Linked DNA regions of Struthio camelus. Each later gene encodes a partner of the first gene's protein in a complex. Links are inferred from orthologs where the notes say so. Each region holds a gene or a part of one and is shown on either strand. Other genes may lie near its edges.

The links. Proteins that work in one complex are often made in the same cells at the same time.
Region 2: CYFIP1 (region 1) and EIF4E share a complex: the UniProt entries of both Homo sapiens proteins name them as parts of the CYFIP1-EIF4E-FMR1 complex. The link is inferred for Struthio camelus from reciprocal best matches to the Homo sapiens genes CYFIP1 and EIF4E.

The regions. Positions count from the first base shown.
Region 1 is NC_090942.1:148,825,712-148,832,956, forward strand, and holds the start of CYFIP1 (cytoplasmic FMR1-interacting protein 1), read left to right. Parts: upstream 1-4,239; 5' UTR 4,240-4,254; coding exon 4,255-4,283; intron 4,284-4,523; exon of another isoform or gene 4,524-4,735; intron 4,736-4,977; exon of another isoform or gene 4,978-5,055; coding exon of another isoform or gene 5,056-5,069; intron 5,070-6,374; exon of another isoform or gene 6,375-6,516; intron 6,517-7,245. UniProt on the Homo sapiens protein: Component of the CYFIP1-EIF4E-FMR1 complex which binds to the mRNA cap and mediates translational repression. In the CYFIP1-EIF4E-FMR1 complex this subunit is an adapter between EIF4E and FMR1.
Region 2 is NC_090945.1:28,151,111-28,158,452, reverse strand, and holds the start of EIF4E (eukaryotic translation initiation factor 4E), read right to left. Parts: upstream 3,088-7,342; 5' UTR 2,725-3,087; coding exon 2,707-2,724; intron 1-2,706. UniProt on the Homo sapiens protein: Acts in the cytoplasm to initiate and regulate protein synthesis and is required in the nucleus for export of a subset of mRNAs from the nucleus to the cytoplasm which promotes processes such as RNA capping, processing and splicing.

The DNA.
Region 1 (7,245 bases):
TGCTGCTTGGATGTTAGAACATGTGACCCTGAAACAGCAATAAAAATATTTGTGCATTAAAGCTAATAAGGGTGATAAAAGATGTATGTATTGATGCTACTTCCTGACAATGCATTGCTGGAGGGATGTAACTGTTTGGGGCAAGGCGGGCTATATCTTGCAATGCTAAATCCCTAATAGGGTGCTGTCTGCCTTGATAATGGCTTGTAGAGGATAGAAATTTAAAGAATGCTTTTAAAGACTGTACTGAACTCTGATGCAGTTGTAATGATGAGCTGCGTAACAAACATGCCATAGTCTTCTGTGCGGATTTCTTGCATGATCAAAATGCATATAATTTCTGATAGGGTCAAGGAGGGATTTGTACTCATTCATGCCTGTCAGGGAGTTGGGTGAGTGGGCTCTGGTGTGGTTGGCAGCTCAGCATGCAGGTTATTGGAAAGTGGAGCAGCGGGACATGGGCTCATTGTACAGACAGAGAGAGTTAAAGCCTTCAGAGTTGGCAGGGGGCAACAGAAGGTATTGAACAAAAGGATGGCATATGTTCTAGCATTGGAAAGCAGAACCAGGAAACTTATATCCGTTTGAAATGATGGCATGCAGCACTAGGAAGGAAATCAAAAGATAGCTGCACATCTCATCATGCACTGATGGGTGTTTACAAATGTGCAACATGCTTGCTATTGGCAGCTGTGCTACTGGTGACCTACGTGCTCTCAGGGTCAGAAATCTTTTCTTTTTGTGGGGTTAGAGATAGATGTGGGCAACCAGATCACTTTTTATTTGCATAAGGCCTTCTGAAGCAGAAAGCTCTTGGCTGTAGTCTGTTGTTGGAAGGAGTTACTAGTATTTGTCATAAGCTGGCTAGGCTTCCTGCCATGGGCAGGTTTTCACTTTCTGAGCTGTCTGCTCATTGAGACCTCTTTTAGACAGTTGCTGCTTGCTACTTGGTCTCTTCTGCTTAAACTCTCCACAACCTGTGCCCTGTACACATGTGTTTATCTCTTCTTGAGAGCTGCAACAAGTTTTCTTATAGGTAGTGTGGGAACGTGTAATGTTTTTGTGGTCTTGCTGTGCTTTAAACCATTGGCCGCGTCTGATACAAAATGAAGTCTGTGCTGACATCTTCAGCCAAAATCCTGTCCAGCCCTTCACAGCATGGACAGGTGACTGACACGTTGCCAGAGGTATGGCTTTTGTTTTTAACTAATTTATAGTTTTAACTATTTTCTTTGTTTGCAGCACTGCATGGTTTACAATTCTTGGGCTCACTGCAGCCCTAGCTGATCATGGCTTCATGAATGCCTTTCTGTACTGGATCATGGCAGTTTTACCTCCTGTGGTGTTTTACCTCCTTTATGAGGATGAGAAGATCTCTGTTGAATTAACAGGTAAAGTATCGATAAGCTTCATCACTAAAATATCTGAGTGGAAAGATGCGAAACCGAGACAGTACATAAGCATTTTACACATAGCAAACAGCTAGTGGCAGGGCCTTAAGATTCCTGTGGAAGCTCTTCTTTCATAGACTTTGCTAAATACTGTAAAGTGCAAATAAAGAAATCAAAATGGAATCGAAATAACTGGAATTCGGGAAACAGTCTTGTGGGTGTCTGTATCTACCGTAGATACCCCTGAACAGAGGCAGAGAATTGGATCAAGCTTGATACCACCGTATCATATGATATTCATCTGGTTTAGGTGTAGGGTACACAAATTGTCAACAGCATGATACGTTAGTGCTGTAGATCTCACTATAGATAACTGACAGGTATGGGCTCAAATACCAGGTTGAAATAAATATTTTACCACCCAGAAAGGGCTGTTGAGTTTCTAATTCTAGCTGTTGGCTTCATGAAAACGACAGCCATCTTCCAGTGGATAAAGGGTCAGTTAATGGCTTGGTCAGGATGTATAGAAACTTACATCTTTAACTAGGCGCGGAAGAGGTTCACATTCAATTAAGCAAGAGTGTGATTAAGAGCATTCAAAGTCAGGCCCAGAAGAAGGAAAATGTAACGGCAGAAATGGGTCATGGAGATCTCTATATCTTAGCTCCTTTAATCCAGTACTGTCATCCCATTATTTAAATTGCACAAAAGTGGAGTGAGCAGGGAGTTGTGGGGCATTTCAGAATTGAATCTGGCAGCTGAAATGCTGTGAAGACTCTTTCCAAATTAATTCTGAAAAGCATACCTTGCTGTTACGAGAGAACATACACATCCAGTTCTTGTAATGTGATTGTCCTCTAATCCCGATACCAAACAACCGAAAAGCAACACAAGTCTTGACTAGCTGCTTAATTACCATCAGTATTTTTAATCTGACCTTATGGGTAGCTATAAATTTTGAGTACAGGATTGTCCGAAAGGGTAGATTGCCCCAGTAGAGGGCAGTAGCTCCTACACCCACTCTGTTTCTTTAGCAGGAACATGGCAAGACCCTGAAGCATCGGGCGGTTGTACGAGAAGTTGTTATTGTTAGGGCAGTATGGTGCTGCTTGGCAGGGTCTGGCTTTTGTGCGAAGCAGCACTCCTGGCACCAGATGACTTTTTGTAAGCACGGAAGCTCCAGTGGCAGTCTTGCACAGGAGCACTAAGGAGAAACGCTGGTGGGGCCAAGCTGCTGCTGTTCAGATTTTCTGGCTCTGATTGGAGCAGCTCCTTGATTGGGCCTTGCAGAAATTTGGTGTGCTTCCAGCCTCCCTTGGGGCTCTGTTGTGGCTTGATAACTAAGGCCTTGCTGCTGATCTAGGCCAAGTGGTTGCATTAAGACAAGGCTGTTGTGAGTTTGCACTAATCCAGGACTAGCAAACATGCACGATCCTGTCTTACGAAGGCGAGTTAGTCTTCATGAGTTACTCTTCACTTTAGTAACTTGATTGCCCCAAGCGCTGTTTGTGGAAGAGAGCGTAAGAGGGATTGCACCTGGACAGTGTCAGCTGTCATTTTAGAAAGCTGAAGAATCCCGTTGTGGTAGCCTTTCCTAGTTTTCGCTTGACCTGGATTTAGAGGCTTGGATGATAAGGAACTGTGATAGATGGAATTTATTCATTTGATATATGTACTCAAAATATACTATTGTATGTGCACAAGCAGTCAGAGAAGAATAAGCAGCGACATCCTAGAAGAGAAACTGTTTCATATACCAATGGACAATATTGCAGCACTGGAAAAAATATGACTGTGAAGGTAAGTCTGCAATACGATGAAATAGTAACAACAACAACCTTTTGAAATGGTGTATAATTTCTCCCCAAGATGCTGAAATTCTTGATGGTGTGGAATGGATAGAATAGATGGATAAAACAGTACTTGAAGTCATGAGGATTAGTGTGTTTAGCAACTTATCTCCACTTCCCAAAGGCTTTCTTGTAGGTGCTTGTACAAAAAGGCTATTTAAGGAAACTTAAAACAGTGGAAATTTGAAAAAAACAAAGATCAAGGAAAGGAATAATTATTCTGTTCTCAGCACAAAAAGCATTAACAGCACAGTATCTCACCAGCAGCTCTTGAAAACAGAGATGAGAAAATCGCTTGCTGCAGCAAAACTGTGCAGGTTGCTAATGAGTAAGGGAGGATTTTCAAAAGCAGATAAAATGTGGGATGCAACTTGAAGTAGTGAAATACAAGAAAAGGGGCTTTGAGGAGATTTCCAAACAATTCTGTTTGTTCTATGTTCGGAACTGACTGTAATCCCTAGATATAGTAGAGAGGTGTGTTCTGTCTGCTGTAGGATAGTGGACAGAAAGACCAGTTTTGGTGACCAACTTGGGAAGAAATTTCTTTTTGTGGTACAGTGTCAAGTAGATGAATCTTAAAATTGGAGAAATAGGACAAAAACAGAGTGTGAAATGAAAACGTGCAACAGCTAAGTACTTTCTAAAGTAGACAAGCATATACACGCTACTGTTTTACAGAACAATGACATTTGGAGGTGGTTGAGAGCAAAACTGGCCTTTTTGCTTTTCTGCTTTCAGTTTCAATTAACAGTGGCATTCCAGGTAGGAGCAAGGCCCACGCGAGCACCACCTAGAGGTAGTATTTCCAAGGGTTTTCTCTTGAAACCCTTGTGGTTAAGACTAGCCTCGGATCCTTGATGCGGGGGCTCGTTCCCTCCCGTCAAGTGAGGAAAATGTCGCCGCGGCCCGCGACTTTCACGCTCGGCGGCGTCATGTCCCGGGCGTCCCTGTGGCGCCCCGCACCGTGCTGAACGGCCGCGGGCCGGCCGGGCGCAGCTTGGTCCCTCTGCGGAATGAGCCTCTCTGGGGCTGACGCGCAGCTGTGAGAGAGTCGTGCTCTGCTTGTGTCTGTATGGGTAGCTAACGTCTAAGGCTGCTTGCCTTATGTTGGGGGGTGGGGGGGGGGGAGAGCAGTCGCTCCTCGGCGGCCGCGGAGCCCCGGCAGCCGCCCGGCACCTGCAGCGCTGCGCGGGGAGGCGGCGGGAGGCGGGGCCCGGCCCGGGCGGGGAGGGAGCGGGGGGCGGCAGGTTTGGGATGGGGCGGCGGGAGGAGGAGCTGGAGCGGCAGGAAGGGTGTTTCCCTGCGTAGTTCCCAGCCGAAGTGACTCAGACAGGAAACTGCCAGCCAGGCGCGGCCGGGGGAGAGGAGCCGCCGGGCCGACGCGAGCCCCGGCGGCGGCGAGCCGAGCCGAGCCGAGCCCCCCCCCCCCACCCCCCTCCTCCAGCCCTCCGCCCCCGGCGGCGGGCGACCCTCGCGGGAGCCGCCGGCCAGCGGGTGAGCGGCGCTTGCCCGGCTCGGCGCGACGCGGGGGCTGCGGGGCGGGGGGGGGGGGGTCAGGCCTCCGCGGCTTGGGGCGCCGCTTCGCCTCCCGCCTCGCCCTGCGCCGTTCTCGGCGGCCGCGGGGCTCAGGCCGCGGCGCCCCGGGGGGCTGCGCGGGCCGGGCCGGGTTGGGTTGGGCCGCCCTGCCCTGCCCTGTGCCGGCCGCCAGCGCCGGGCGCCCGCGGGGCGGCAGGCGGGGGGTGGGCTCTGCGTGGAGCCGCCTCGGTGTTGTTGCCTGCCCGCGCCTGTCCGCAGAAACGTTTGGTTTTCTCCGGATGCTGAAATTTAAGTCAGTTCGTGCCGCAGGCTGCGTTGCGCGGTGCGCTTGTCTACGCGCGCGCGTGTGTGTAAATACATACATATATACGCGCAGCCCGAGCGAGGCCCGTCAGGTGCGGGCAAGCTGGGGCAGGTAGCTGGTGGCAGGGCGCGGGGGAGAAGATGCGGTGCCCTGCCGGGTAACTGCCAGCCTGCGGCGGGCGGGCGGGCGGGCGGGCTGCCGCTTCTGGGGTAGGCCAGAAAGCGTATGAATCCTCCCAGGTGATTAATTGGAGAGCGGTTTTAAGTGTGTCGCTTATGGGGGGAGGGGGGGTTTCGTTGTCCCCTCTCGCATGGAGTCCGTGTGTCTGTTTGCGGTGCTGGGATAGTTAGAGCTTTGCTTCCGATGCTGTCCGGTGTTGGGGAGCAGATGAGGTGGGAAATAGTAAGTCAGAAACGGCGTGCAAATCCATCCCCTCTTTCAGTTGAAAGAGATGATTGAGCATCTGTCTGAATTCCCAGAGTAGGATTTTGAGGAACTTGAGTTTTCTCTAATCAAGATAATTACGTTGTAGTGAGAGTTGCAGCGTCTGTTCATAATTCCCTACTAGGCATCGTGGTAACCGTGCACCTTCTGTATATGTCTACGATGTGCGAACGGATTCATGCCGAAATGGATTTCATATACTTCTCTAGTTCATCAGGAAGTCTGTTAATAGTTTTTACCTTTCTAGTTCTCATTGCCTTATTTTTTCTTCCTGTACCATCTGATGATAGGTGTGAGTAGTGTTTAGACATGCAAATTGTTATTTGTGTCAGGAAGACAGACTATATGGAGGAGGTAGTCTTTGAGGAATGTAGTGAATCAACCTGAAGTGGTTGCTGAAGCGCATACATTGGAGGGGAGAGGAAAGTTGTCCAGAAGAATTTCTCTTTAATTAGAAGGTCAGACAACACTTTACCATAAACTGCGGGAGATGTAAAGTTTAGACTCTCTAGTAAGCATCCCTAGTCCTTATTGCATTTCACTTACTTATTTGCCAAAGCTTTATTACAGCAAATTTACTGAAAACTCATGCGTTTAGTGTCATTGGTTAATGTATTTTTTTAGATGGGAACTTCTAATAATACCATGACGTACTTTCTTGATCTTTGTTTTATATTGGTATTAATTGCATGTTTACAAACTGTTTTATGCTCAGGCGGAGAATCTCTGAGCTCTGTGCTTGAACTTGTGTTCTTAGTCCTCACAGCGGTTGTTCTGTCTGGTTCTTGGATTTATCCAACTCCTACTTCTGCGCTTTTTAAAACTGCTTTTGTTTTTTTTTTAACACAGAGTTCCTCCTGACCTAATCTAAAAGGCTCTTTCAGCATTCGCAATTAACTTGCCTGTGAACTTTAGCTGGAATAGGCAGCCGTTATTTCCTTAGCTGCCAGGAAGGAGGAGGTATTTGGAACCAGCCTTTGGAAAACTTGGGGTACAGTATGAAACAGTAATGTTTCTTTGCAAAAGCAACTTGCTTGAATTTTTTTTTCTGTCAGGACAATGATGTGGTTGATAGAATACCTCAGTTGTATTTTGTGGTTTCCAGGTTGTTACGCCTAGATTATTGTTATTCTTATTTAGAAGGAAGAAAAAGCCTGGAGTCTTAAGAAAAACAAACAGACAAGGATCCTGTGCTGAAGATGAGTAAGACCTTGTGCATTTTGTTCGCTGACCTTGGGTCTGGTGAATTCCTGCTGAGGGTTATGATCACGAGAGAGAATAGAGAAGTAGTGTTTGAAATGCGTGGAGCAGAGTTAATGTAAAATTTCTGGGGTTTAAATATTGCAATATCTCCTAAGTGGATACTGCTACATAAATTGCAAAAAAATCTACGTTAAAAGAAAGTGAATGTTCCACAAACAGTCCATACTTTTCATTTCTTAACTCTTTGACTGACTTTAAAAAAACTTGTAGTTCTTTAGGGTACTTATGTATGTTTTGTTATGAACACCTTTGATTTTTTTTTTTTTTCCTTCAGTTTTCTCAGGGTGGAAATGTTCCCCCTGGCTTGAACCCACAAACTTTCTTGACCCACTATACAGTCCTTAAAATATAAGTAAAGAACGAGCAGATACCTATTCCAGCTGTGTGTTTTATATTGGAAGTTTGTCTGATATCCACCTTAGTTTAATGAATGCTTTGTTTATTCCTTCTGAGAGAG
Region 2 (7,342 bases), on another chromosome or scaffold:
AGAAACTTCCACAGAACTCTTCAGAGTACCCCAACCTGAAGCCTCAACATTCCTAACTAGTTCCAAGAATACTTTTCCATACTCTCAACATTTAAAACAAGAAAGTATTAGAAGAATCATTGATTTCAGTAGTATCCCGCTTAAAGAGACATTCATAACCTTCTGCGTTGCCTAAGATACATTTGCATACTAGGGAAGCAACACCAAAAGTTACTACTTACCATTGAGGGCAAAGAGGGCTATCTCACATTTCCCTGTTCTTTCATTCCCTAGCTTATTTCTCCCTTTAAGTATGAAAACCAGTGAAGCTGGTTACTTTTCAGTTACATAAAATACTTACTGCAAAGTAAGTCTTACTGTAAGATGTTTACTAAAGTATGACACATTTCTTCAAACCTAGGTCCAGATTTTGAAGGTCAGCAATAGAAAGGCTTCCATATGTTCACGAAGTAATCAAACTCCTAACCACACATTCAACTAAACTACTCAACTCCAAATCATGCACTATTTTTGCAACAGCGGCCATCTATGATTTTAGCCACTATGCAAGCTCAAATTTAAGCTTAGAAGTGTGAGCCACCTAAGAGTAAAAGCATAAAAAGGGTATTATTTAAATACATTTGAAAATAACCAAGCATAGCTTATATTTCCTTCATGTTTGATCTATGGCAGAACTGTCAACAACAGGTCAGTTAAACTGTCTTAAGCATTGCCTTGTCTTCTACTTTTACTGGGTCAGCACAAATACGTCACTCCAGGTTAAACCTGATTTGGGAACTAATCCTACTGGAAAATGGTGTAGCAAAATAAACTGCTTATTTTTGTCTAAATTAGGCCCCAGATCTAGCCCAACATACGACCACACAAACATGCAAAAACAATGGAGAGAACAGTGTGGGGACAGGCGTATGCCAGCACTGCAGCCAAGAGAGCCACAGAAACATGCCTTTAGTATTGTTTCAATTTCTAGTGGCTATCAATATTACAAATAACTTATCACAACACCTGCCAAGCCCCATGACAGTCACAAAACACACGAGACATGAAGCTCTCTCCTTCAAAAGCATGGGCTTAGGCTTGGAAAGATCAGTTATCAGAAGTAAAAATAAGTGTTTGAGACTGTGGCTGAAGAACATGGGAAGGCTGCTGCTGGTGCTCCAGCTCGCTAACAATCGATTTTCTTCTACTTCAGAACCACTAGTCAAGGAATTCATAACTGATGACCAACGTTGGTCTTTCTTGTAAGTAAAGGTTTTTTTTTTGTTGTTCAGGAAAGAAAACTGTATGACCAGCATCCCTTAAGACTGTCTCCCTGGCAAACTAAGATGTCTGTATTTAAAAACAGCAAACTGATTCTTGTAGTTAAGTATTTCTATCTAAAGGCCTCTCCAAAGCATGCACTGGCTATTTAGGCACTGTAGGTGAGAAGCAGGAACAAGTCACCCATCCTTAAATCTCTCATTTTCTCCAAACACTAGCACAAGGTCTTCCACACTCTGTTCCCCATGATACACGAATGTGTACAATTAGATTGACAGTTACCAGACCGTGTCCAGCTCTGCTTCAATTCTTTAGGGGAAGTGCAGGTTGGGACAGTAATTATGAAACACTGTGTAGTTTTATGAACACAACTTCACACACAGAGAGGGAAGAAAATGTTTAATAATTAAACACTTTACAGAAATTAGCCTACAGAAAGTTCCAACAAAAATACGATCTTAGACCAGAAAGGTGACATCAGATGATAAAAGGGAATAGTGTTTGCATCACATCTTGAATCTGAGCAGCAACATCGCTTTTTCGGTTGCCTAAATCTAGAGCAGCATAACTACTCAGTTTGAGACACTCACCCCACCCCAGGTTAGCGACTGCGTATCGCCTAAGCACAAGGCATCTTTCACCACTAGCTTTGAAATACTACGGCAGCCTTGGAACTGAACCTTTGCTACTCCTACATGGCCGTGAGGGTGCACGCACGCATCCTGGCGAGGGACGGGCGATCGCTGAAGTGACAGGAAAAGTCCTAACTCGCCGGCTCCTTGCGGCAGAAAGCAACATGGCCACCCCCACCCCGCCACATGAGCGGAGCGCGGCCGAGGGCCGCCCGCCAGGCTCCGCGGGGGCCGTTCGCCGCCGCTGCTGCTGCCGCCGCCCGCCCGGGCTGGCTGCTCCTCCTCTCCTCACCTTCCGCCCCCCCCCTCCCCCCCGCCTCGGGAGGGCGGCAAGGTCACAGCCGGCGGGGAGCCGCGGGGCCGCCCCCGCCGCGACACAATGGGCGCCACGGCGGCAGCCAGCACCGCTACCCGCAGGCCGCGCGCCCGCCCGCCCTGCCCCCCTCACCCCCCAACCCCACCCCAACGGTCGGTTCGTTTCTTCCACGCGCCGGTGACGGCACAGACGCAACGGTGCGGGCGGCGCGCGCGCGCAGGGCCTCGGCCTATCCCTCCCTCCCTCCCTCCCTCCCCGCCGCGCAGGCCGGCGCCGCGCCTCGTCTCCCTCTCCCCCTCCCCCCCGCCCCGTCCCCGTGCGTGCGCTCCTCGCCGGCCCCATCGCCATCGCCATCGCCCCGGCGCCGCCCCCCCGCCCCCGCCCTCTCCCCCTTCCCCGCTGCCGCGCCCGCCGGGGCCGCGGGAGCCGCAGCGCGGGCAAGGGGAGGCGGAGGAAGGAGAGAGAAAGGCGGGCGGGAGAAGGGAATGAAACACTCACCGGTTCCACAGTCGCCATCTTAGATCGATCTGATCGCACCAGCGCTGCGGGGAGGGGAAGGGGCGGATTAAAAAAAAAACAGGTTCAAACCCGGTTGGCTGGCCCGCGGTCACGTGAGCCAGGCGGCCGTTTGGGACGGGGGAGGGGAGGCTCCGGCGTTCGGGCCGCCGGGAGGGCGGCGCGCGGGACGCGGCGCCTGCTGGGAGCTGTAGGCGCCGAGCGCGGAGGAGGCCGGGAGCCGCTCGCCCTCCCTCTGGCCGGCGAGCCGCAGTCACATGGGGGAGGAAGAGGCGGGCGCTGACCCCTAGCGGCCGCGCCGGGGCGCTGCGCGGGGCGCCGCCCGCGCGCACAATGCGCCGCGCGGCGCCGTCCCGTGATGCTGCGGGGCGGCGCGGGGGGCGGCCGTTGGCCGCGGCGCGCGAGCCCTGTCTGTAAAATAACGGTGGCCTCGCCCCGGCTCGGCGCCGAGCGTTTGGCAGCGGTCGGCAGGTAGCGTGGGACAGCGCTGCTCTACCGGGCCAGCTCGGCCTGCCCCTCACCCGGGCGGGGGAGGGGGGTGCTGGCAAAGGTGTCCGCATCGCAAATAAAAACTTCCACCCGCCTACAGAAATAATCTACCAGCAATGCAACATTGAATGCTTTTCCGGAATCAGAGATTAGCTGGGTTTCTGTTATTCACAACGTGTACTTCAAAGGGTTTCGGGGCAAGGTTTTTCTCCTGCAGTAACTACGGATTTTTACTGGATTTCTGAAGGGCACCTTGCAATATGTGTCTGATGGCCTGAGGATACAACATACAAATTCTCAAAAGCATTTCAAGTACATTGAAGAATGGGATGCGATTGTATTTTTCTACTTTAGATAGGCAACTAAGTAGGATCTGCAATCCAGTTACCAGTGGCATCTTCTGTACTTGCTTTGTATGGCAAAAGAGGAAGGCCACAACCCTGCAAATTTCAAGTGCACCATTAAGTTGTCTCTCATTGTGCCATAAACAATGCAATTAAATCATACCCGCAACACAGGAAAACTGTGGGCTCTTACTGTGAGGTCCAGACTGATTATTTGATTGAATTTAATCAAGAGTTCCTCAAATCCTATTTTTACAGCATCCAAAATGCAACAGTCTTCGTGTTTTGCTTCCCCAAGGTCAGTTTTTGAATCAGTTTCTACTCACTGCAATGGCATCAAATTTCTTCTCCTCAAAGGGAAACAAAAGCTAAGAAAAACTCAGTTTATTGAATATAACTGGGCCCATTCATGTTTTGCTGATAGAGTGCCTCTCATTCATAAAAGGAACAAAACGTCTGTTGTTCAAGCCAGGTGGTCACATGCTGGCCGATGTGAAAAACCAAGTCCAATTTTGACAACATCAGTCATGATTCTCAGATTGACGCAAACACGTTACTCCGATGGGCATTGCATTTTTGCAATCTCGTCTGTTCCTATTTGCTCAGAATTTTGAGTGGTGGGGTCCTGTCAGAGGAAAAAAGGACACAGCTGGAAAGGTTGTCATTTTAAAACCAAGAAGTCTTAACACCAGGCACCTTGCCTCCACTGTTTTAGCCGACTCAGTCCCATTCTACTGCCAGTTAGAATTATATTTCTGACCATAATTAGAGGAGTTGCAGCAGCTCCGTTTCCCCCACCCCTTGACCCTTGATTAAATAAATTACGAGTGCTGAGAAATTTAATCCAGCCATGGGAGAAGGAAACTAGTGCTTTGCTCTGTGGAAATAGCAGGGTGTAGGACATCAAGCACCAAATGAGACCTACCACAGATCAGATTTTTTAGTTCTGCAGGAAATCAGGAGGCTTTAAAAGATACCTAAATGGCCACAGCATTCCTATCTTACAAGACAGATCTAAAAATTAAATGGAACTATTTTAAGAAATAAGATCCCCAGATAGTACCGGTGGAGCTCATATTTTAGACTGCTATTCATGTGCCAAGGTGACACCTCATCAGATGAACAGGAGAGATACAGCAGCATGAGAGGGATGGTGATACAACTGAGCTCTACGTTTATCCCATGGGAAACGGCCGAATTCCTTTTGAGCACGGAGGCAATTTGTCCAGAGAAAGGCACTTACTTCATTCTCCTTTTGAAATGTTCCTGTCACACACAGTCTGGTGTAAGATCTGCAAGTATCCATTCCTTTTCATCTGCTAAAGAGCTAGGTAGCAGGTAGGGTGTTTTCAGGCTTTGACAGTGAGTTGCGCATTCATGCAGCATCCCCTTTCCTGGGTGACCTAGAAATGGAGGTACAACTACAGGGACAGAAGGATGGTTAAGCATGGTGGTTCACCCTAGAAATCAACCTTTTAGAGCTCTGTCCCTTGAAATCACTTTTTCCAGCCAGGATGGTATTGCTCATCTCACAACAGAAGGGAAATCAAAAATTACAGTCCTGAGAAGAAGTTAAGGGAGGAGACAGAGTGACTGAGATGCACTTTTTCGGTACTAAGGCTTAATGGAAATTTATTTACCTCCGGTATTTATGGAGGATGTTTGAAAGAGGCGAGAGAAACAGCAGTTTAGGGAAGCAATGGGTGACCGGGAAAAAAATGTACCAGACACTTTATATAGGGTTCTGTGGCTGGCGGAGTGGAAAAGCATGCATTCCTTTATCTGCTCCAAGAATATGAGTTACCCCTTGGAAATCCAACTAGACTGTATCAACCATCTCACTCTTTTCCACATGCACGTTGACTCTTCAGGGAATTTAGTAAGTTTGTAAGGCAGAATTTCCCTCTATAAAAGTCATGTTGACTCTTCCAAGTAGATCATATTTATCTAGGTGTCTACTGATTCTGTTCCCTATCATAGTTTCTACTGACCTGCAGAGGAGAGAGCAAGCTTCCTGGCCTGTCAGGCCCCCTATCTTCCATGGGACTCCTCCTAGAAGTTGATATTACATTTGGTATCCTGTAGACACCAGGTATCGGTGCAGCTTTAAAACTGTGGTTATGCACACCTGCTAGCAATTTCAGTTTCCTCCTTGAATACTGTGGGTGAATACTATCTGGTCCTCAAGATTTCTTACTGTTCATTTTATCAAGTTTCTTCCATTCTCTCTTCCAAAATCCCTTCAATTTGCAGGATATCCACTGGTGATTGCAGTTTCTTCCACAGTGAAAACTGACTCAAATGATTTATTAAACTTCTCTTCAAGGGCCTTGTGTTCTTTGAGTACTCCTGTTAATACTACGGTTATCAATTGCTCCAACAGACTTCTGGAAGGCTTCCTGTTGCTGAGAGAATCAAAGAAAAATCTATTATTAGTTTTGATTCTTTTTTGGGGGGACAATCTTATTGTTTTCTTATATTCAATCTGCAGGGATTTATGTTTCTACTTTGTTTCATTTGAATATTACTTCACCCTTCTCGGGCCCTCCTTAATAATCCAAGTGTGTGTATAGACCTTATGTTTCTAATAGGTGTATCTTAAAATAGCTTCCATGCTGCCTGTAAGGATTTAATTATTTAGCTGCACCTTTTTGTCCCTTTTTAACAAACTGCCTTATTTTTATACAGTTCCACTCTTTGAGTCAAAATTTGGTGAATTTTTTGGCTGTTGGTGATCCTGTAATGCATCAAAGTATGTTATGGTCATTGCTCAGAGACTGGCTCTCCAAATATATGAGTTTTTAAACCAGATCCCAACTACTACTCAGGATGAAGTCAAAGGCTGTCTTCTCATGGACTTTCTAACTAGTTGTTCCATGAAAGAGGCACTATTTATGTCTAAAAGGCCAGTCTCTGTGATACATCTAGATGTAACACTTGTACAGGCTACATACAAGCAATGAAGACTACTGTTACTTTTGTATTTCCCGCCCTTGCTGACCTCCTTGATCTTCCTTAGAATTTCACTATCAGTAAAGTAGACCAAATATTGGGTTGGTTCGTTAATTATGGAACAGGTCAGTACTTATTCACTATACTCCTCTATAATCTCCCTGTTTAGGCCTGTCATGTTAACCTATGCAGATATTATTTGACTTCTAGTAATAAGTTGGTTAATTGGACTTGATTTGATTTACAGAGCGGCTTTTCCAAACACAAACTGTTTTTTACGGGAAGGTGGACTTCCTGTTACTCTGAAATCCAGACAACAGAGACAAAAATGCATGAAACAATAAATCCCATAGGGGCAGTGATCTTGTGAGACTGATACTGGAAGAATGCTGGTACATGAATAAAGCTGCTTTCCACTACATTTGTTTGTAGATCACTGAATGGCCACTGGTTATAACCAAAATGTATTGGAACAGCAAATTTTCTGCAGTATTTTTTTTGTGCTATGGAATTCATTTTAGTGTTAGAATTTGGTATTTATTTAATAAAGGGAGAGCGTTCAATGAAGTAATGTTTTATCAGCCACCCTACCTGTTTAAAGAAAAACACAACAAAAATATATTCAAGGTCCTCAACTTTTATACTACTGTTTCAAAGAAATAAATACTGAAAACAATTTCACAATAAAAGAACTGGGACACATTTTCCCAGTGATACCACAGAAATTAAGTATTTGTTCCTTCCCTTCTCCTTATGCTGTCTAACGTTAAATCGTGTTATGCTGACAAAATAACAATATAAACTATTAAATCTGCACTTTCAGAAGGTATGTC